Linked DNA regions of Pelodiscus sinensis. The protein of the gene in region 1 purifies or fractionates together with the protein of each later gene. This does not show direct contact. Links are inferred from orthologs where the notes say so. Each region holds a gene or a part of one and is shown on either strand. Other genes may lie near its edges.

What was found.
Region 2: the proteins of DNAJB1 (region 1) and BAG5 purify together in Homo sapiens (affinity purification with mass spectrometry; 3 studies listed by BioGRID and IntAct, with this or other methods). This does not show direct contact. The link is inferred for Pelodiscus sinensis from reciprocal best matches to the Homo sapiens genes DNAJB1 and BAG5.
Region 3: the proteins of DNAJB1 (region 1) and PYCR3 purify together in Homo sapiens (affinity purification with mass spectrometry; 3 studies listed by BioGRID and IntAct, with this or other methods). This does not show direct contact. The link is inferred for Pelodiscus sinensis from reciprocal best matches to the Homo sapiens genes DNAJB1 and PYCR3.

What each region holds. Positions count from the first base shown.
Region 1 is NC_134729.1:10,611,955-10,618,122, reverse strand, and holds the start of DNAJB1 (dnaJ homolog subfamily B member 1), read left to right. Parts: upstream 1-2,752; 5' UTR 2,753-2,909; coding exon 2,910-3,120; intron 3,121-5,142; coding exon 5,143-5,711; intron 5,712-6,168. UniProt on the Homo sapiens protein: Interacts with HSP70 and can stimulate its ATPase activity. Stimulates the association between HSC70 and HIP. Negatively regulates heat shock-induced HSF1 transcriptional activity during the attenuation and recovery phase period of the heat shock response.
Region 2 is NC_134714.1:20,289,431-20,295,598, forward strand, and holds the start of BAG5 (BAG family molecular chaperone regulator 5), read left to right. Parts: upstream 1-2,457; 5' UTR 2,458-2,481; intron 2,482-2,662; coding exon of another isoform or gene 2,663-2,791; exon of another isoform or gene 2,792-2,801; coding exon of another isoform or gene 2,802-2,834; exon of another isoform or gene 2,835-3,115; intron 3,116-3,293; exon of another isoform or gene 3,294-3,528; intron 3,529-4,361; 5' UTR 4,362-4,389; coding exon 4,390-5,742; 3' UTR 5,743-6,168. Other genes in the region: COA8 (cytochrome c oxidase assembly factor 8), read right to left, coding at 2,663-2,791. UniProt on the Homo sapiens protein: Co-chaperone for HSP/HSP70 proteins. It functions as a nucleotide-exchange factor promoting the release of ADP from HSP70, thereby activating HSP70-mediated protein refolding.
Region 3 is NC_134712.1:2,163,786-2,169,953, forward strand, and holds the start of PYCR3 (pyrroline-5-carboxylate reductase 3), read left to right. Parts: upstream 1-1,902; 5' UTR 1,903-1,954; coding exon 1,955-2,039; intron 2,040-3,927; coding exon 3,928-3,992; intron 3,993-5,594; coding exon 5,595-5,774; intron 5,775-6,168.

The DNA.
Region 1 (6,168 bases):
GGGGTGTTAAATTTTGATTAACTAATAGAATAGTCAATGGGATTTCCACCTTTGAAATGTACAAGAGTACCCAGTGGGGCTGATCCCAGGCTCCATGCAGCACTTTCCCTTTGAAATGCATAGGAGTCCCCACTGGGGACTCTTGTACATTTCAAAATAGGCAGCCCTGCTCCCTACCATGGATCTGGGAGGAAGCAGCTTTTAACCATGTGACCTTGGTTAGTTAAGTGTCTTGTGTGCCTGGATACCATGGAACAAACAGCAACCGGGAGGTGCTTTGCTCAGAAACACCCCCCCCCCATGTCTGCCCTTCCACCCAGCAAGATCTGTGTCCCTAGTTTGCACTGGTGTAACTCAGCTCAGATTCTTGGCCATGCTCTCTGATCCAAAGAGCTTGCATTCTCAAAAGCTTGTCAAAATCTGCCCGAACCAGAGGGGCAGCATCTTGCACTGCCCCTTTGTAATACTGACTTCCTTTGGCAAATGCTTTGATTTCTGCTGATGAGAAGCTCAGTAAGAGCAAAGAATTTCCAGTGTTACCATTAGTGAAGTGGGCTAACACCTATTTTACCCCACACGTCCAGCCAGTCAGACAGCATGCAACTAGGCAATGACAGATGGTCTGTATCAGAAGTTCACCGAGTGCTTGTCACACTACAGAAACCTCACCCTTACCACAATTGTACCCATTTTCCAGATATGCAAACTGAGGCAGAGATGGCGTGGTCTGCCCTAGGTCATACAATGAGTCATAGTCTTGGTTCCCAGTGCGCTGGTCTAATCACAAAGCATACTCCCCAAATCAGATAAAACCTATATGTCCTTGTTCCCACTCTTCTGTTCTAACCATTGGCCCATCATAATCCCACCCACTCAGCCTCATTTAGGAGAGATGCTTTGACTTTTTTTTTCCGTCTTTTTCTTTCTTTTTCTGCTTTTTACAGTGAAACCTTTGTTAACAGAGTGATGGATAACTAGAAAACTTTAACTGGCATTGCCCCCAGCCACAATACTGTCACACATTCAGGCACACAGGCCTGGTTTAGTTTACTGATTGCCTTAACAATTTTTTATTTAAGTACTAATCTTTAACTCAAAATAGAAATGTGAGACCAACTGCCTCACACTACAAAACTACCAATATTAAAAACTTGAGTTTTACTATTATTGTCCATTGGTTTTTCCTAGGTTGATGGGACCCTCAGACAACTGGAATTTTTAGATAACCGGAACGCGTTAATCCCCGAGCATGCTGGATAACACAGTTTTTACTGTATTTGAAGCTCTGTGCCTTTCTCCATTTTTTTGTCATCTGAAGAAGTGAGTTGTTTTGGTTAGTCTCTAAGGTGTTACAGGACCATTGTTGAGGTTTTTTAAGCTTTTATAGTGGAGAATGTTCCTTTTCTTTTCTAACAAGGGTGAAAAATGTCCTCTGATCCACTGTGACTCAAGAGCATCTCAGTGCTTTGTGCTTCTGGAGCATTGAGAACTATGATGACATAATTCAGATTTTTCCACAGCTAAAGTGGGAAGAAATGGTTTGAGTGTAGGGAGTAGAATAAATGTTTAGTTTTATGTAAATATGTATAAAGATAAATGTTTGATGACTTCATAATTTTTTTGCAATATATAATTCATACTTAGGCCCTTCCCTCCCACTAGCCTTAAGCCCCTCATTACCTTAATCCGGCCCTGCCTACATGCATTTCCCTGCCTCTCTTTCCTCATCGCTCTGCAGCACCCTTTGGGCTGGGTTCAGAGTCCTGTGTGCGGTACTCTATGGCCATTCTGACTTGCATAATATAAGCTCCAGCTTTCTGCAAGCTCGGGTACTCTGACCTTTGCCTTCCCCTTCCCAAACATCCTGTGCTATCTCCCCTCTGGGAGTCCTTTAATAAACTTGAACAAACAGAATCCAGGGCTGGATGTCCCTGGTGAGGAGGTGACAGGTTTGGAATCCGGATGAGTAGGGTTGCAAGCGTAAGCGTAAGTTATTGGTTACCCAAACAGTTACACACAGGTCTCAGGGACCCTCCTGCTGCCCTGCACTCTGGTGAAGGCAGCAGAGGGGGGCAACAGACAGGAGCCTGTACTCAGTTCCCAGCACACACCTGCACCTGGGAGCTGGCTGTGCCCGGCGTGTAACCGAACGTTTACCAAATGACACGTATTTTAACATCCCTAATGACCGGCGCCTTTGGAGGGGAAGGCGAGCCTGTGAGACCTGATGGGGTGGGTGCCACTAGCCGGGGGGGGGGGGGGGGGGGGGGTTGACCTTAGGTGAGGGATGCTGGTGGGGGCTGTGGGACATGGGATGAGGGATGCACTGGGCGGGGGCGTGGCTCCAGACTGCTCCTTTCCTTGCTAAAGGCCCACCCCGGGGCGTGGCTTTTGCCGGTGGGCGTGGTCAGTGCCTAGGATGCAAAAGAAAGCCGAGGCAGAATTGATGTTTAGGGTTTCAGCTCGGCCCCGCCCCCCCTGGGGGCGGGGCGAGAACGCTCGGAGAGTCGGCAACTGGTCCCACCAGGCTCGCGGCCTGAGAGAGTGGGGGGAGTCGGGACAGTGACCGGCAACGACCGTTGGTCTCACAGCGCGCGCTTCTGTCCCCTTCCCACCCCTCACTTGATGACGAGTGAGGGGCGTGGTCTCAGCGACGGTTAAGCTCTGGGGGGGGGGTAAGTGTGCGGTCACGTGACGCAGGCTCTGTCCCCACTGGCGGAGAGCGGCAGGCCCCGCGCTGTGATTGGGGGAGGCGGGCGGGAGGCGGGGTCCGGGCGGGGAAGGTTCTGGAGAGCTGTGGCGAGCTCTGGAAGGTTCCGCCACCCGTCATATAAATGGGGGGTGGCGGCGGGCGCCGCGCTGGAGTGACGGGAACCGCTGACGGGGTGTGAGACGCGCAGCTGGGAGCCATGGGCAAGGACTATTACCGGACGCTGGGCTTGTCCCGGGGCGCCTCGGACGACGACATTAAGCGGGCCTACCGCAAGCAGGCGCTGCGCTACCACCCCGACAAGAACAAGGACCCGAGCGCCGAGGAGCGCTTCAAGGAGATCGCCGAGGCCTACGACGTGCTCAGCGACCCCAAGAAGCGGGAGATCTTCGACAAGTTCGGCGAGGAAGGTGAGGGGCGGCGTGTGGGCGCGGGCCGCGGGGGGGTCCGGCAGAGCTTGGTGGGGGAGATGGGGCAGGGGGCGTGTGTCGCTCGCTGTGGATGGGGGGGCTGCGCAGCAGGAATTGGGGGGCTGCCCCCGTGGTGTGGCGAAGGGCGCTGACGTGATGGGGGGAGGGGGACGCCCTATACACTGGGGCTCTGGGGAAGAAGGCGGGGGGGGGGGCTGTCTTTCAGCGGTGCAGCGCTGGGGGGGGCTGGTAAGCAGGGGGATGGTGCGCTAAGGTTTGGGGTGCAGAGCCTCTGTGCGAGGAGGCCCTGTTCCGGGGAAGACCGCATACCCGTGGGAAGGACATTCTGATGCAGCTTAGTACCTGGTGATAGGTAGGAAGGAGGTGGTTAGAAATAGCTGAATGTCATGCTGCTGGGTATTCTGGAAGTACTTTCCATGAAGTGAGGGGTAGCACTAAGATTGGGGAAGAGGAACATATGTCCTAATGGGGCACTCCCAAACTTTGTGGAGAGGGAACTGTGTATCTCTTACACACAAGATGGAGTGGTTTTCTTTCTTGATGCAATCCAGGGAGTGACAGAGAAGCAAAGTATTTACTAGTGGCTAGTCTCTCTTTAATCCTTTGCTTCTGAAATTCATTCATTTTTGTCTGGAAAGGAGTGCATCTAGTTGGTTTTCAGGGAACAGTACTGAACCCTGAATGGGCATGTACAGTAAAGGGATTCAGCTTTCCCGTGTAGCCTGTAGATACTGTCAGTAGCATGGGATAGCGAAGTGGCTGTCAGAAAAATAAGACTCATAGTAACAGGGAGATGTGTACAGAGCTAATTGTGAAAGGAAGTAGAACTAGTCCTATTAGTGAATTTAGGAATTAGCCAGTTTCTTTTATCTCAGAGCGTCCTGTTGCATTAATAACATAGCCTGTTAAAACTATTAATAAAACACAAGTGTCAGACTCTTTTGAACAAAATACAGGACTATGTAGCACTTTAAAGACTAACAAGATGGTTTATTAGATAATGAGTTTTCGTGGCCCAGACCCACTTCCTCAGATCAAATAGTGGAAGGAAAATAGTCTCTTTGGGAGACTTATTGTGAAGTCCATGTGCAAAGCCTGCCTGACTTCCTCCAAATTAAGGCATTAAAAGTCTGCATCAAATCTCTAATTTAACATTAGTACAGATTTTTTTTTTTTTTAGGGTGTAGTCTCATCCATTTAGATTACTCAAACAAGGGAGCTAGATTTCTCTGTATTTAAACAGCTAGGTTGGCCAACTCAACTGTTAACATCTGATGCTGAAAGAGTATGATTTTTAATATTTTTTAAAAATAGTTGCTTTTTCCAGCTAATAGAATTGTAGATAATTTCCCTTAAATTATTTTCCAAAATTTGTGTTTTGAATTGCTTTTCAGTTGCTGACTTCCCATGTTTGTTTCTCTACATTGCCTTTCCTGTAAATACTTAATGATTTCCCCATATGAGCTGATAGGCCACTTTTCCAGAAGAGGCGGAGCTGACTACAGAATGGTTTTGCTTGTCACTAGAAGATTCTAATATACTGTATTTGTTTGCCTGTGTATGTTAAATTATGAAACTTGCTCCGTAACAGTGTTTTATTGAAGCAGGAAGAATATAGTTGTAGTCTCCAGGCACTCAGATTAAATTATTTTTGCTACAATGGCTCTATATAGATGAGCTAGGTTTAATGCCAATTAAAGGAATACAGTTGATTATAAATTATTATGTTAGGAAACTCAGTAATTGAGAGAGAAGAGCTCTTCAACTTGGCTCTAATTTCTTTTTTGACTAGGGAGGTCTGAATCTTGACACCATTTTAAGATGACAGCAGGCCTCTTTGGTGATGCACATCAAACCTAAAGTTCTAAATAATGACATTCCCAGGATCTAAGAATGAGGAGAGTCTTGAAATTAAGAAAGATATAGGAGACATTTGGTAAATCTTGAGTTTAATAAATTCTTATGAGTAATCACTGGATTATATTCATTCTGTTTTTTCAGGACTAAAGGGAGGTGGTCCCAGCAGTGGCGGAAGTTCCAATGGTACCTCATTCAGCTACACGTTTCATGGAGATCCTCATGCTATGTTTGCAGAGTTCTTTGGTGGCAGGAACCCATTTGATACCTTTTTTGTACAAAGGAATGGAGATGAAGACATGGATGTTGATGACCCTTTCTCCACATTTCAAATGGGGGGCTTTAGTAATATGGGTTTCCCTCGTTCCCGCTCGGGCCATGAAAGTATGCGCAAAAAACAAGACCCTCCTGTCATTCATGAACTGAGGGTTTCCTTGGAGGAAATATATACTGGTTGCACCAAGAAAATGAAAATATCTCACAAACGACTTAATACAGATGGGAAGACCACACGGAATGAGGACAAGATTCTGACCATTGAAGTCAAACGAGGGTGGAAAGAAGGAACAAAGATTACTTTTCCAAAAGAGGGGGACCAAACAGCAAACAACATTCCAGCTGACATTGTCTTTGTTTTAAAAGACAAGCCACACAATGTCTTTAAGAGAGATGGATCTGACATTATTTTCCCAGCTAAGATCAGCCTCCGTGAGGTAAGCAAAGGTTCCAGATTCAGTATGGGATTAGTGGGTGGATTGGGTTGGGTTTTGGCTAGTGGAAGTGACAAGTGTTGAGATCTATCTGCACCCTGTTTCGTATCTGGCTTTAATCCATAATAGGATACCTGCCTAACTCTTCTGTGGTCTGCCTAAAATAAGATGGTAGCTTCAGGATACTTCCTTGTGGAACAATCAAAGGGTATAAACCACCATTAGAGATGGCAGATCACTGGCAACTACTTTGAAAATGATGTGGGTCAGTTTGGATACTGAAAGTTCAATGTGGGTCAAGCAGTTGTACAAATATATAACATAGTTGTACAATTTCTGGTACTGTTACTCTGTGCCTGCATCAGTAACTCAGAAGAAACAAATTGGAATAAACAGGCCATTGCAATGAAACATTTTTCTATTTGGTTGTTTGGGAAATCTGCTAGAGATTGTATATGTT
Region 2 (6,168 bases), on another chromosome or scaffold:
CTATAGCTCATAGGCAGGTGAACTAGCAATCATATGTGGTTGCTACATGGGGACAACACACAATGCATAAAGTTAAGTAGATGTATAAATACTTAGACTGAGTCCCTAATCTGATGTTCTATCTTTAAAGAAAGGAATGAATAGGTAATCCCTGGACTGCGTTTAGAAAAAAAATTCTAAACCTAGGGTCTTGTCAAATCAACATTTAGAACTTTTTTTTTCCTAATTCTAATATTCTGAGGAAATTCAGCTTGTATAAAGATTCTCAAACTCTAGCCTCTATTTGTGTGATAATGTAGTAATTGTCTAGAGTTGGATTACAATATAAATAGGCTTGGAAGGACTGGATCTTTGGTGGTAATGTCAGTAAACATCACTTTCAACATATACACACACACCAATTAAAAAATATTTCCATCAATAATGAATTTTATAAATATCCAAAGGAAGAAAAATGTTGCTTGAGAACTTACTACAGCTCAATTTAAGGATATTTACTTTGTATATTTTAACAGAATCATAGAAACATAGGGCAGGAAGGGAAATAAAGAAGTTATTTAATCCAATCCTTTACATGAGGCAAGACTAATCATTATCTAAGCCACCCCTGTTAGGGATATAAGCAACTAGACCCTCCTCCTCTATTAGAGGCAGCAAGAGCCAGTGCTGTGGGGAGCTGGCTTAAAAGCTGGTTCCCCTCAGCACTTGGTCTCCATGGGGGGCAGAAGGACTGTGGGGACTGGCATGAGCCCAGCTGTCCTGACTCGCCCTGAGTCCCCAGTGCTGTACACAGCCTTTTAAATGTATTAAGAGCCAGGAGGTTCTTAATACATTTAAAAGGCTGATGCACAACAGTAGACCCCTCCACCCAAGCTGGCAAAGCTTATTCCTGGCTCACACTGCCCCCCCCTTCCCTCACTGTGCTTCTCCTTTTTAAATGTATTAAGAGTCTACCAGGTCTGATTCCAAATTGATTGCTGGTTCCACCAGACCTTAATGTTTCCCAAGCAACGCATTAATTTATTTGCTAATAAAGAACCACATAGAAATAAAGAGCTGGAAATGAGATTTAATGAGACTTCCTTGTGACCCTTGGAAAATGGTCAACTACAGGCTATTAACATTTTTCTAACAAAACCTATTCAAACAATTTAACAGGAAATTCAAGTAAAATCCTATCATGAGTTAATGAGATGCTGACAGAGAGAAGCCCAGGTAATACAGGGAGACATGATAACCCAGGGAAAATATAGCCCTAGATTCCTGGCTCCAGCTCTGTCCCCCCAACATCTCCTCCTCAGAACCAGGAAAAGAATCCAGGGCTATGTCTAGACTGGCATGATTTTCCGCAAATGCTTTTAACGGAAAAGTTTTTCTGTTAAAAGCATTTGGAGAAAAGAGTGTCTAGATTGGCACGGACGCTTTTCCGCAAAAGCACTTTTTGCGGAAAAGCGTCTGTGCCAATCTAGACGCAGTTTTGCGCAAGAAAGCCCCGATCGCTATTTTCGCCATTGGGGCTTTTTTGCGCTAAACAATACTGCGTTGTCTACATGGGCCCTCTTGCGCAAAAGCATTTGCGCAAGAGGGCTTTTGCCTGAATGGGAGCAGCATTGTATTTCCGCAAGAACACTGAACCTTACATGAGATCGTCAGTGTTCTTGCGGAAATTCAAGCAGCCAGTATAGACAGCTGGCAAATTTTTCCGCAAAAGCAGAAAAACTTGTCAGTCTAGATGCAGCCCAGGAGTCCAGGCTCTAAGTGTCTGGTAGATTCACTGCCAACCAGAAAAGGGAACAAAGCATATGAGTCCTAATGTAACAGTGACAGAACCAAACATGGGACTTGTGGAGCTTACTACAGGAATCTCAAAAGGGGAGGGGAACCTTTTTTTGGGTTGAGGGCCACTGACCCACAGAAAAGTCAGTTGATAGAATTTCCATCCACTGCTCCATTAGTCAGGCACTCCCTATCCTGCTACACAGCTGCCTTTGAAATGTACAAGAGTGCCTAGGGCTCTTGTACATTTCAAAGATGGAGCAGTCAGGACCATCAGCAGCAGTCCCTGCTTGCAGAGTTTCCTTGCTGCACCTTTGCCTCCCCTCCTCCCCTCTCCAGATGGTGCTGGGGGGGGGGGGGGGAGATCAGCTTTTAAGATGGCTCTCCCCAGCACCAGCTCCTGCTCCCCCCCCCCTTTTCTGCCTCTCTCTGATAGAGGGCAGGGGGAGAGAAACAACTAGTCACATATCCTTAATAGAGGAAACTCATTATTCTCTCTGTAAGTAGTCTAAGTGTCACTACACCAGCGAACCACACCCAGCAGGCATGTGGGTTGTACTAATGCCCAGTCCCCAGCTTGCACCCAGGAGAGCCCCAAACCTGTACCCAACATGATGGACAATGGGGCTCCCCGCGGGTCCCCAGGGCCAATTGCATGACGCCAGAGGCAAAGGGGGAGGCCGCCCTCCTGAAAAAGAGCTAGAGGTTTGTCCGCCCGCTCTGCCCATTGGGATCCCCGCAACTCGGCGCCCACTGGACCTCAACGCAGCCCAGGCGGGGCGGGCTCTCCCTGCCCCAAAACACGGGGCAGGACCTCGAGTTCCCAGCGCTAACCACCGCAGCCCCGGCCTCAGGGAAGCCTGCCCCGCACCCTCCGCCTGTTTACCGGGCTCTCCGGCTTGTGGCCGCGCACGGGCCCCTCAGCGGCCAGGCGCCCCGCGCCGCCCCCTGCTCGGGAGAAGCCGCGGCGCGAGCCGAGCCACCAACGCCCCACTCGAGGCGCTGCGCCCGCCATCGCGCCTCACCCGCCTCCCCGCTGGCGGCGGCTTTACGGCCATGTCGCAAAGGGAGGGCCGCCCGAAACTTCTCCCTGAGGTGCGGCAGGCGGCGCAAGCTGCGGCCTCCGGGAACCCGGGAGAGCGGCTCAGTCTCTTGGCTGCGCAGCTCCGGTCACCCGCCGCGCTCTTCCCTCTGCGGCCCCCGCCGGGTGAGGGCGGGCTGGGGTTCCCGGGCTCGGGATAGCCGCCGTTTGGCCCGCGGTACAGGCCGGTTGGAGGGGCCCGCCGGGGGGACCCAAGTTCTGTCGGGGACGGGGGGAGAACAGCGCCTGTCGGGCCAGGTGAGGGGCGGGGGCTCGGAGGGAAGCTGAGCTGGTTGGGGGGCGGGGGGGTTGGCTGCCTGGAGAGTGGGGGCAGCTGATGATGGGGAGTTGGCGGGGAAGAGGGCCTGGGTGCCGGGGCCCTGGGGATATGGAGGACGGGGGAGGGGAGGCGGGGGGGGTCTCCGCGGGGGGGCGGGGCTCTGCGATAAAGGAGACGCTCTCAGCCGCCTGAGGCCCCCGCTCGGTGCCGCCCCCGGGCTCCGGCACGCGCTCTCCGTTCCCCCGGGACGCCCCCATTGTGAAGTCATCCCCTGCTGGTGGCGCGGCCCGGCGGATCCAGGCTCCTCCTGCAGGGATGTAGCGAGCCCGGGCTCCGGGGGGGATCGGGGCCTGCTCCAGGGGATTGTCTTCCTCCAAGGCTGCTGGCTAGGGTAGGCGCCGTCCTTCATGCTGCGGTGGGGGCTGGAGACCTCAGGGCCAACTCCGCATCTCTATCGTATGCAGGGGCCGCGGTACTGGGGATGGTTGTGGTCGCTGCTTGAGGACAGGCAGGTGGTGGTGGAAGGAAGAGGGGGCCTCAAATGGGCTGAAAAAAGCGATGAAAGGCGAAGAGGGGAACGTGAGAGAGATTAGTGAAGGGCCGAGGGGTGTGGATGAAGGGCCCTGGATGAGGTGCAGAAGTGTTTAGGGGTAGTTTAATGTGGGAGAAGGGTGCCAGGTGGTGTAGACAGACAAAGGATGCTGGATGGGGGAGAAGGCTGGTTAGATTTGCTGAGGGTACATAGATATGGGCACAAAGTGTTGACAACATTAGTTGCCTCAGCAGTGTTATAATCCCTATTTTGAGTAATGCAAGTGATTGAGAGGGGAGTATTTACCAGTTGGGGGGGAATCTTGCACTAAATTAAGAATTGGAGGTTGCCTCCTTAATTTTCTTCATTATTGAAATAACCCATTTTTCTGCATTGATTGTAAACATTATAGCTCTGAGAGTGAATAAAAACTTCTAGCTGTGTAAGTTCAAGTGTATATCATTTAATAGGAGCTTGCAGACATCATTAGAGAGAGATGTACAAAAGAACAGTGACATACTGTATGGTTTGAAGTTAAGTGCGTCACTCTTTTTAACTTTCTCGTACATTCTCTGTACCTTTAAGTCAAGTTAATTTATTAAATATTTTAGTGTCATGAGGCTTTATAAAAGTTGTTGGAATTATGAAATATTTGTTTAAAAATTTATCAGTCATTCTTGCCTCCTTTACAGCTCATTTGAAACTGGAGGAAATAAGATAATGGATATGGGTAACCAACACCCTTCCATCAAAAGGCTTCAAGAAATACAGAAAGAAGTCAGAGATATTGAACAGCAGGTGGTGATTTTCAGTGGCCTGTCTTCTGACAGGGATTACAAGAAACTGGAGAGGACTCTGACTAAACAACTTTTTGAAATAGATTCTGTAGATACTGAAGGAAAAGGGGATATTCAGCAAGCCAGAAAACGAGCAGCCCAGGAAACAGAAAGACTACTCAAAGAATTGGAGCAGAATGCAAACCATCCACACAGACTGGAAATAGAGGCCATATATAAGGAAGCTCAGTCATTGGTGGAACGTGAAATCACACCTTTTTATAAAGGTGGCAACTGTATAACTGATGAATTTGAAGAGGGTATTCAGGATATTGTATTGAGACTTACTCAAGTGAAAACTGGAGGAAAAATCTCGCTACGGAAAGCAAGATACCGCACTCTGACAAAAGTGTGTGCAATTCAAGAGATTATAGAAAACTGTATAAAACAGCAACCTTCCTTGCCACTCTCCAGTGATGCACATCCTTCAGTCTCAAAAATTAACTCTATTATGTGTGATGTAAACAAAGCGAGGGGTACTCTTATTGCAGTCTTAATGGGAGTAAATAATAATGAGACTTGCAGGCATTTATCCTGTGTGCTTACTGGTCTGGTTGCTGATTTGGATGCGTTGGATGTTTGTGGCCACACAGAAATAAGAAATTACAGAAAGGAAGTGGTGGAAGAGATTAATAAATTACAGAAATACCTGGATTTGGAAGAGGAAGCAGACTCTGCTCATGCTTATGACTTGGCACAAAATCAATCCATTCTAAAAATAGAAGAGATCCGCAAAAAAATGAAAGAAGTTCATTCTTTAATTTTCAGAGCAGAAAATGCTTCTGATCTGTTCTTGGGATCCAAGGCAGAACTTCAAGGTTTAATTGCCCACTTGGATGAAGTGAGTCCAGGAAAGAACCCATGCATCAGAGAAGCCAGGAGAAGAGCAGTGATAGAAGTGCAAACTCTTATAACATACATTGATTTAAAAGAAGCACTTGAAAAAAGGAAATTGTATGGTGAACAAACTGTTGTAGAACACCACTCCCATAAGGCAGTCTGGAGTGTTCTTGAACATTTGTCTCAGATTCAGAGGGAAGTGCTGTCTTTTGATGGAAACCGAACTGATAAGAACTATATGAGACTAGAAGAGCTCCTCACTAAGCAACTTCTGACACTTGATGCTGTTGATCCACAAGGAGATGAACGGTCTAAAGTTGCCAGAAAGCAGGCAGTAAAGCTTGCACAGAATATTCTTTACTATCTAGACATGAAAACAGATGAATGGGAGTACTAGGAAAATAGTGGCCTCATGTAAGGTGTTGCTTTCCTTTTTTGCACTTTATGTAGACTGATAGCTCCCATGAACAGCACATGATTAAAAGTTGTGTTTTTATATTCGCTCGAATTGTGGAGATGATGTAAATAGTTGGCTTGAATATATGGCAGCTATCCCACATTTTTGCCCACTTGCCATGACAATTGTCAGTACACCGTTTTTTCCATTTTGGTCACTATGTTATGTGAGAGAGATGGTTTTCTTGAGGAATTGCATAAGTATCAGAATCTGTAATATTTGGTCAAACTGTTTGGTTTTTCTTCAAAAAAGCATGTTTCTCAAAGATGCAGGAATTTACTTAAGATACAGTACTAGAAAAACAATGAAAAGAAGACTGGAAATTTAAGATTATTGGCCAAATGCAAGGTTAGATCCATCAGCTTT
Region 3 (6,168 bases), on another chromosome or scaffold:
TGATGTTTGTGTGAAGGGCTCATGAGTCCTCCTGGGTTTCCTCCGGCATCTCTGAGAGGAAGGAATGATCCGATTGCTAGAACACACCCAGAGGGCACAGGCCTCATGGAAACTTACAAAGTTCCACTTGGATGCATGCTGGACTGATCAGTCTCCATGGGCCACACATGAGCATGCAGCTGCCTTGTGTCTCCGGTGTACAGAACCAGAAGCTGCTGTGGCCCTCCACAAGGTAACATTAAGGCACATTCTCTAGATTTTTCTGCAGCTGGTTTTAAGCAGGGAGCCAGGCTGCAAGGGTAGGAGCCTGGAGTGGTTAGGGCCAGTGCTGTTGCATACATACCTGTCACTGCAGCTTGCATTTCACCCCTTGGACCGTAACAAAACACTTAAAGAGGAAAAGCCCCCCAGGAGCAATTGAGTTAGGCTTCCGGGTCAGGTCCTGTTCCCCAACCAAGACAGGAGAAAAGGTCTCCTCCTTCATCCACTGTCGGGCTCAATTAATTCCCTTAGGCTGCATCTAGACTGGCAAGTTTTTCCGCAGAAGCAGTTGCTTTTGCGGAAAAACTTGCCAGCTGTCTACACTGGCCACTTGAATTTCCGCAAGAACACTGACGATCTCATGTAAGATTGTCAGTGTTCTTGCGGAAATGCTATGCTGCTCCCGTTCGGGAAAAAGCCCTCTTGCGCAAATGGACCAGTGTAGACAACGCAGTATTGTTTTGCGCAAAAAAGCCCTGATGGCGAAAATGGCGATTGGGGCTTTCTTGCGCAAAACCGTGTCTAGATTGGCACGGACACTTTTCCGCAAAAACTGTCAGATCCTTTCTATCCGAGGGCAGCACACTTCCGGGGGTAGCGCCATGCATTCAAACGTTGCTCCTGACTTTGGCCATCATGAAGCCAGACAAGAGAGTCTTATCAGAGAAGCCTTTCCCCTCTCTGAGTAGGGAACAGCCACAGAAAGGGATGTGAGGAATGGATCAGACCAGCCAACACGCAAGTTCAACCACATGAAATGAATGTGTCTGTGGAAAGCATTTTCCAAACCCCAATCTCTGTTGGTTTTGCTGCCTTTCAGGCCAGAAGGTGCCACGTCAGCACGTTGTACATTGTAGCTCAAAGGCCCTTCCATCTGACGCTTTGCGGTCAGATTTGTTCATACAACCCATGCACCATGGGGAAGACCATTCATGTTTCCCAGAAAGGGAAACTGAGGCCACAGACTGTGACGGACCTCAGAACAAAACCCAGGTGTTCCTGGCTTGAGCCACCAGATATTGGGGGGTGGGGGTGTCTCTGGGGCCTTTGAACAGCCGTGCCACGGCCCCTCACAAGAAAAACAAATCTGGTTGTGGAACAGAGCTGATCTTTGGATGCAGAAGCAGACACACCAGGTCCTACCTGGGGGGGTGCAGGGTCTGGGGGCGCCCTAGGGGCCTGAATTCACATGCCCACCGCAGAAGGCCCAAGCCCTGACCCTGACCCTGCTCCGCCCCCAGCAACCGGCCCAGGAGATGGGGGGGGGATAGAGGGGGCAGCTTGAGTGACAGCTCGCCTGGGGCCCATACACAGCCCAGCTGCGGACACAGCTGGCAGCAGGGCGGGGGGAGCTGTGTGTGGGCGCTGCTGATCCCAGATGACTAGGGGGGGGGGGAGCAGCCAGATGCAGCGCTGCCAGCCTGGAGCATCCCTGCGCTGCGAAGGCAAGAGGAGAACGGAGACCACGCCCCCACCAGGACCCCACGTGGGGCGGTCACTCACCTGACTCCGCCCCTGGGGAGAAGCGCCTCGTTCCCCCGGGCGCTTATGAATCCGGCGCCCGATGACGTCGCACGCGGCGGCAGCCAATCCGGAGGTGAAGGCGGGGTGAGGCCGAGCGGAGCCCGCGACGCTGGGGGCGGGTCCGGCGGTAGCCACGTGGTGGGCGGGTCACGTGGGAGAGCCGGCTGGGATGGAGGCGCGCGGGGAGCTGCGGATCGGGTTCGTGGGCGCCGGGCACATGGCCCAAGGGGTGGCGCAGGGCGCGGTGCGCGCAGGTAGGCGCGGGGTTTGGGAGAGCCCCGCCCCCCTCCTCTCCCCTCCCCCCCCACCCCACCTGCTGGGGGTCCCTGGGTAACCAGCCCCCCCTTCCCGAGGGGAGCCCCAGCAGAGGGTGCCTGGGTAACTAGACCCCCCCCATCCCAGCTGGGAGCCCTCGCCGGGGGCCCTGGGTAACTAGACCCCCCCCCATCCCAGCTGGGAGCCCTCGCCGGGGGCCCTGGGTAACTAGACCCCCCCCCCCCATCCCAGCTGGGAGCCCTCGCCGGGGGCCCTGGGTAACTAGACCCCCCCCCCCCATCCCAGCTGGGAGCCCTCGCCGGGGGCCCTGGGTAACTAGACCCCCCCCCCCCATCCCAGCTGGGAGCCCTCGCCGGGGGCCTGGGTAACTAGACCCCCCCCCCATCCCAGCTGGGAGCCCTCGCCGGGGGCCCTGGGTAACTAGACCCCCCCGTCCCAGCTGGGAGCCCTCGCCGGGGGCCCTGGGTAACTAGACCCCCCCCCCCCATCCCAGCTGGGAGCCCTCGCCGGGGGCCCTGGGTAACTAGACCCCCCCCCCCCATCCCAGCTGGGAGCCCTCGCCGGGGGCCCTGGGTAACTAGACCCCCCCCATCCCAGCTGGGAGCCCTCGCCGGGGCCCTGGGTAACTAGACCCCCCCCCCCATCCCAGCTGGGAGCCCTCGCCCGGGGGCCCTGGGTAACTAGACCCCCCCCCCCCATCCCAGCTGGGAGCCCTCGCCGGGGGCCCTGGGTAACTAGACCCCCCCCCCCATCCCAGCTGGGAGCCCTCGCCGGGGGCCCTGGGTAACTAGACCCCCCCCATCCCAGCTGGGAGCCCTCGCCGGGGGCCCTGGGTAACTAGACCCCCCCCCATCCCAGCTGGGAGCCCTCGCCGGGGGCCCTGGGTAACTAGACCCCCCCCCCCCCATCCCAGCTGGGAGCCCTCGCCGGGGGCCCTGGGTAACTAGACCCCCCCATCCCAGCTGGGAGCCCTCGCCGGGGGCCCTGGGTAACTAGACCCCCTCCCCCCATCCCAGCTGGGAGCCCTCGCCGGGGGCCCTCACACCAGAACCACCCCCCACCCTGCTGGATAAGCGAGTTCCCATGCTACAGGCCCCCCCTTCCCCTCCATGGGGGTCCCTCTGCAAGCAGCACCTGCCCCAACACAAGGGCCCCCCCCCCAACTCGTGCCGTGCTGCTGTGTAACCCTGTGTCTCACCCCGCAGAAGACATCCCAGTTCTGGGCAATGGATCCCTGTAGAACCAGCCCCCTGCATCCCACCCCACGGGACAGCTGCAGCTGGGTGCTTGGTGAACGAGCCCCTAGAAATAGCTGCTGTGCCCAGCAGTGGAGGCGCCTGCGGTCCCGAGCCCTGTCCCAGTTATGGCTCCTAGGGGCTGAGGGATCTCTGTAAGGCCCTTGCCATGCTCCCATCCCAGAAGCGGCTGCGGGTCCTTGCTGTGCGATAAGTCGTTGGCTCTCTGCTCAGGCCCAGTTAATCAATGACTCTGGGATCCTAGGGCGGGGAGGCCACAGAGAGCTGTCTGGCTGTTCCCACGATACCTGCCGCACAGGTGTGCGTTTTACCAAGGCCATTCCAGGCCTGCTGCCACCACTGCCCTCCTGTGGCAAAAGGAAGTTCCCTGCAATCGCCTGGCATCGCTGCCCGCAGCGCGCATAGCCCGTGTGCCCTGGTTAGCTGCCTGCCTCTCCGCCCTTCCGCGGCCGTTAGGAATCTCACGCTGGCTGGTGGGCAGCTAACGCTGGGCACGAACAGGCTTGGAATTGGGCCTTGGTACGAGTCTCTAGTCTGAGCATGTTTGAGGCATCGCAGGATTCTCTCCATGCCCCTTAAGCAGCGGCTTACCTCTGCTCTGTGTTTTCAGGAAAAGTCAAAGCTGCCAACGTCCTGGCCAGCGCGCCGTCCGACAGGAACTTGGGGGCCTTCAAGGTGAGCGAGGGCAGGGCATTGCAGGCTGCCCGGGAAAGGTCAGGCCTCTTCCTGAGGACTGGAAGAGCTAATAGCATCCTGGTGTCCAGAAACGGGAGGCAAAGGCGATAACGATGCTCGAGTCCACTTGCTTGTGATCCCAGCAGATGTGCAAGCTATTGAGTTCCTCTCCGGAACACCTGGGTGCCCTGGGAAATGGGGCTGGTGAGCTATGGTGGCTTTTCCCTTTCTCTCACTGCTCATCCTCAGTCCAGGTCCACACTGGCGTAACACATGTAGCTGGAGTCTGCTTACCTTCAGCCGAGCTTAGTGCCAGTCCCCGTCGTCTTCCCTCGCGACTGCGAGTATCAGGGCTGACTAGGGATGTGAACAGCTCGCTGACTAGTCACTTCTCCCTCCCTTTCTGAAAGAGGCAGCAAGGTGGGGGAAGAGAAAAGTGCTTCAAAGTGGCAGCGCCACGTGGAGCCTGGAGCTGCTGCTTTGAAACGCCACATGCAGAGTCAGCAGGGGAGGGGGGGGCTCCACTTGAAATGCCATGGGGCCAGTGGGGACTGCTTGACTGGGCTCGTGATCCCTGTAGCGCTTTCGCCTTTGAAATGTAGCAACTGCCCTGGGGTTGTTGCTACACTTCAAAGGCGGAAGCGCCCTTATCGAGTAGTCCAGGGGTTCTCAAACTTTGTAATACTGCAACCCCCTAAAATTCTACATGAATTTGTGTGACCCCCACCCCATGAATAAAGGGGGATTTGGGGGCAGCGGGGCTGGCCGGGGGAGATCGGGCAGGGAAACCGGCCAGCGGGAAGCAGGGGTGGCGGGGGGAGGAAGGGAGAGGTTGGGTACATTGGGGCTGGCCGGGGAAGATCAGGAGGAGAAGTGGGGGAGAACCAGTCGGCTGGGAGGGGGCAGGGAGAGCATGAATTGGCTGGTGGGGAGCGGGACTGACCCAGGCACATGCCGCTACCAGGGCGCTGCCCGTCCCGCGCACAGTCCCAGCGAAGCACGAGTGAGTTTGGCTGAGGCACCACCACGCGCTAGAATAGCGCTCAGGAGCACGTACAGGGCTTCCCTTCCTCCCCAAGGCATCACACGCAACCAGAGGTTCTCAGCGCTGATCGTGCCCCACCTCCCAGCCACTCCCACAGCCCCCGCCAGGCTTCCGTCGGGCACCCAGACAGAAAACTAGAAAATACCAGACATGTACCGGACTGTCCCGAAAACCCAAAAAAACAGACTGTCCTGTGACTCCCCTCTAAGTTGCTCAGTTTGAGAAACCCACAGTTTGAGAAACGCTGGAGTAGTCGAATAGTCAATGCAACTTGCATCGACTATTCGATTAGCTGATTAAATTTAACATCCCTAGTGCTGACCGGAGTTGCCCTCAGCATTTGATTTAGTGGGTCTTAACTAGACCCACTAAATTGAACCCCAGAAGATTGATCACTGGGCGGAGGCCTCAGATAGCCTTTCCCATCTCACCGGGCTGCGTTTTAATGTCGCCATGCATGTTAAAAGCAGGTGGGTGCTGAGTGCTGCTGTTATGTGGGTAGATTCCAGCCTGTCCCCTCCAAGCCTTTACCGGTGTCCCATCTCCTTGGGCGGCAGAAGCTGGGCTGCAAGACGACACACTGCAACAGTGAGGTACTGCAGCACTGTACCGTGGTCTTCCTCGCCACCAAGCCGTACCAGCTTCCTGACGTCCTGCGGGAGATTTCTCCTGCCATCACCCGGGACCACGTTATTGTATCTCTGGCTGCTGGAGTCACTCTGCAGATCCTGGAAGAGGTGGGTGTCTTGTCCCGCTGCCCCCAGCTGGGGCGTGCACTTTCTCATGGGAACAGTTTATATTTGCTTTTAAACAATGGCCTGGTTAAGAACACGCCCCCTCTAGGTAAAAACTGCTCCAAATCCATGCAGCTCTCCTGGGAGTCTGGTGTGTGTGCAGCCCAGGTCACACCAAGGTTCCTTACCTGGAATGGGCCTGGCGAGGGAGTCGCGATAGGCACTGTCTTCTAAGAATGGCATCCCAGGGAGGTATCAAGGGGTGACCCAGTACTTAGATCCAGCCGCCTGGAGTGGAAGGGTGTAATTACCAGTTCATTGGGGAGTATGGGGCAGTTCACACTGAGAATGTAAAAGGTTAATGGGTGAGGCGAGACCAGCTCCGGTTAATTGGGCG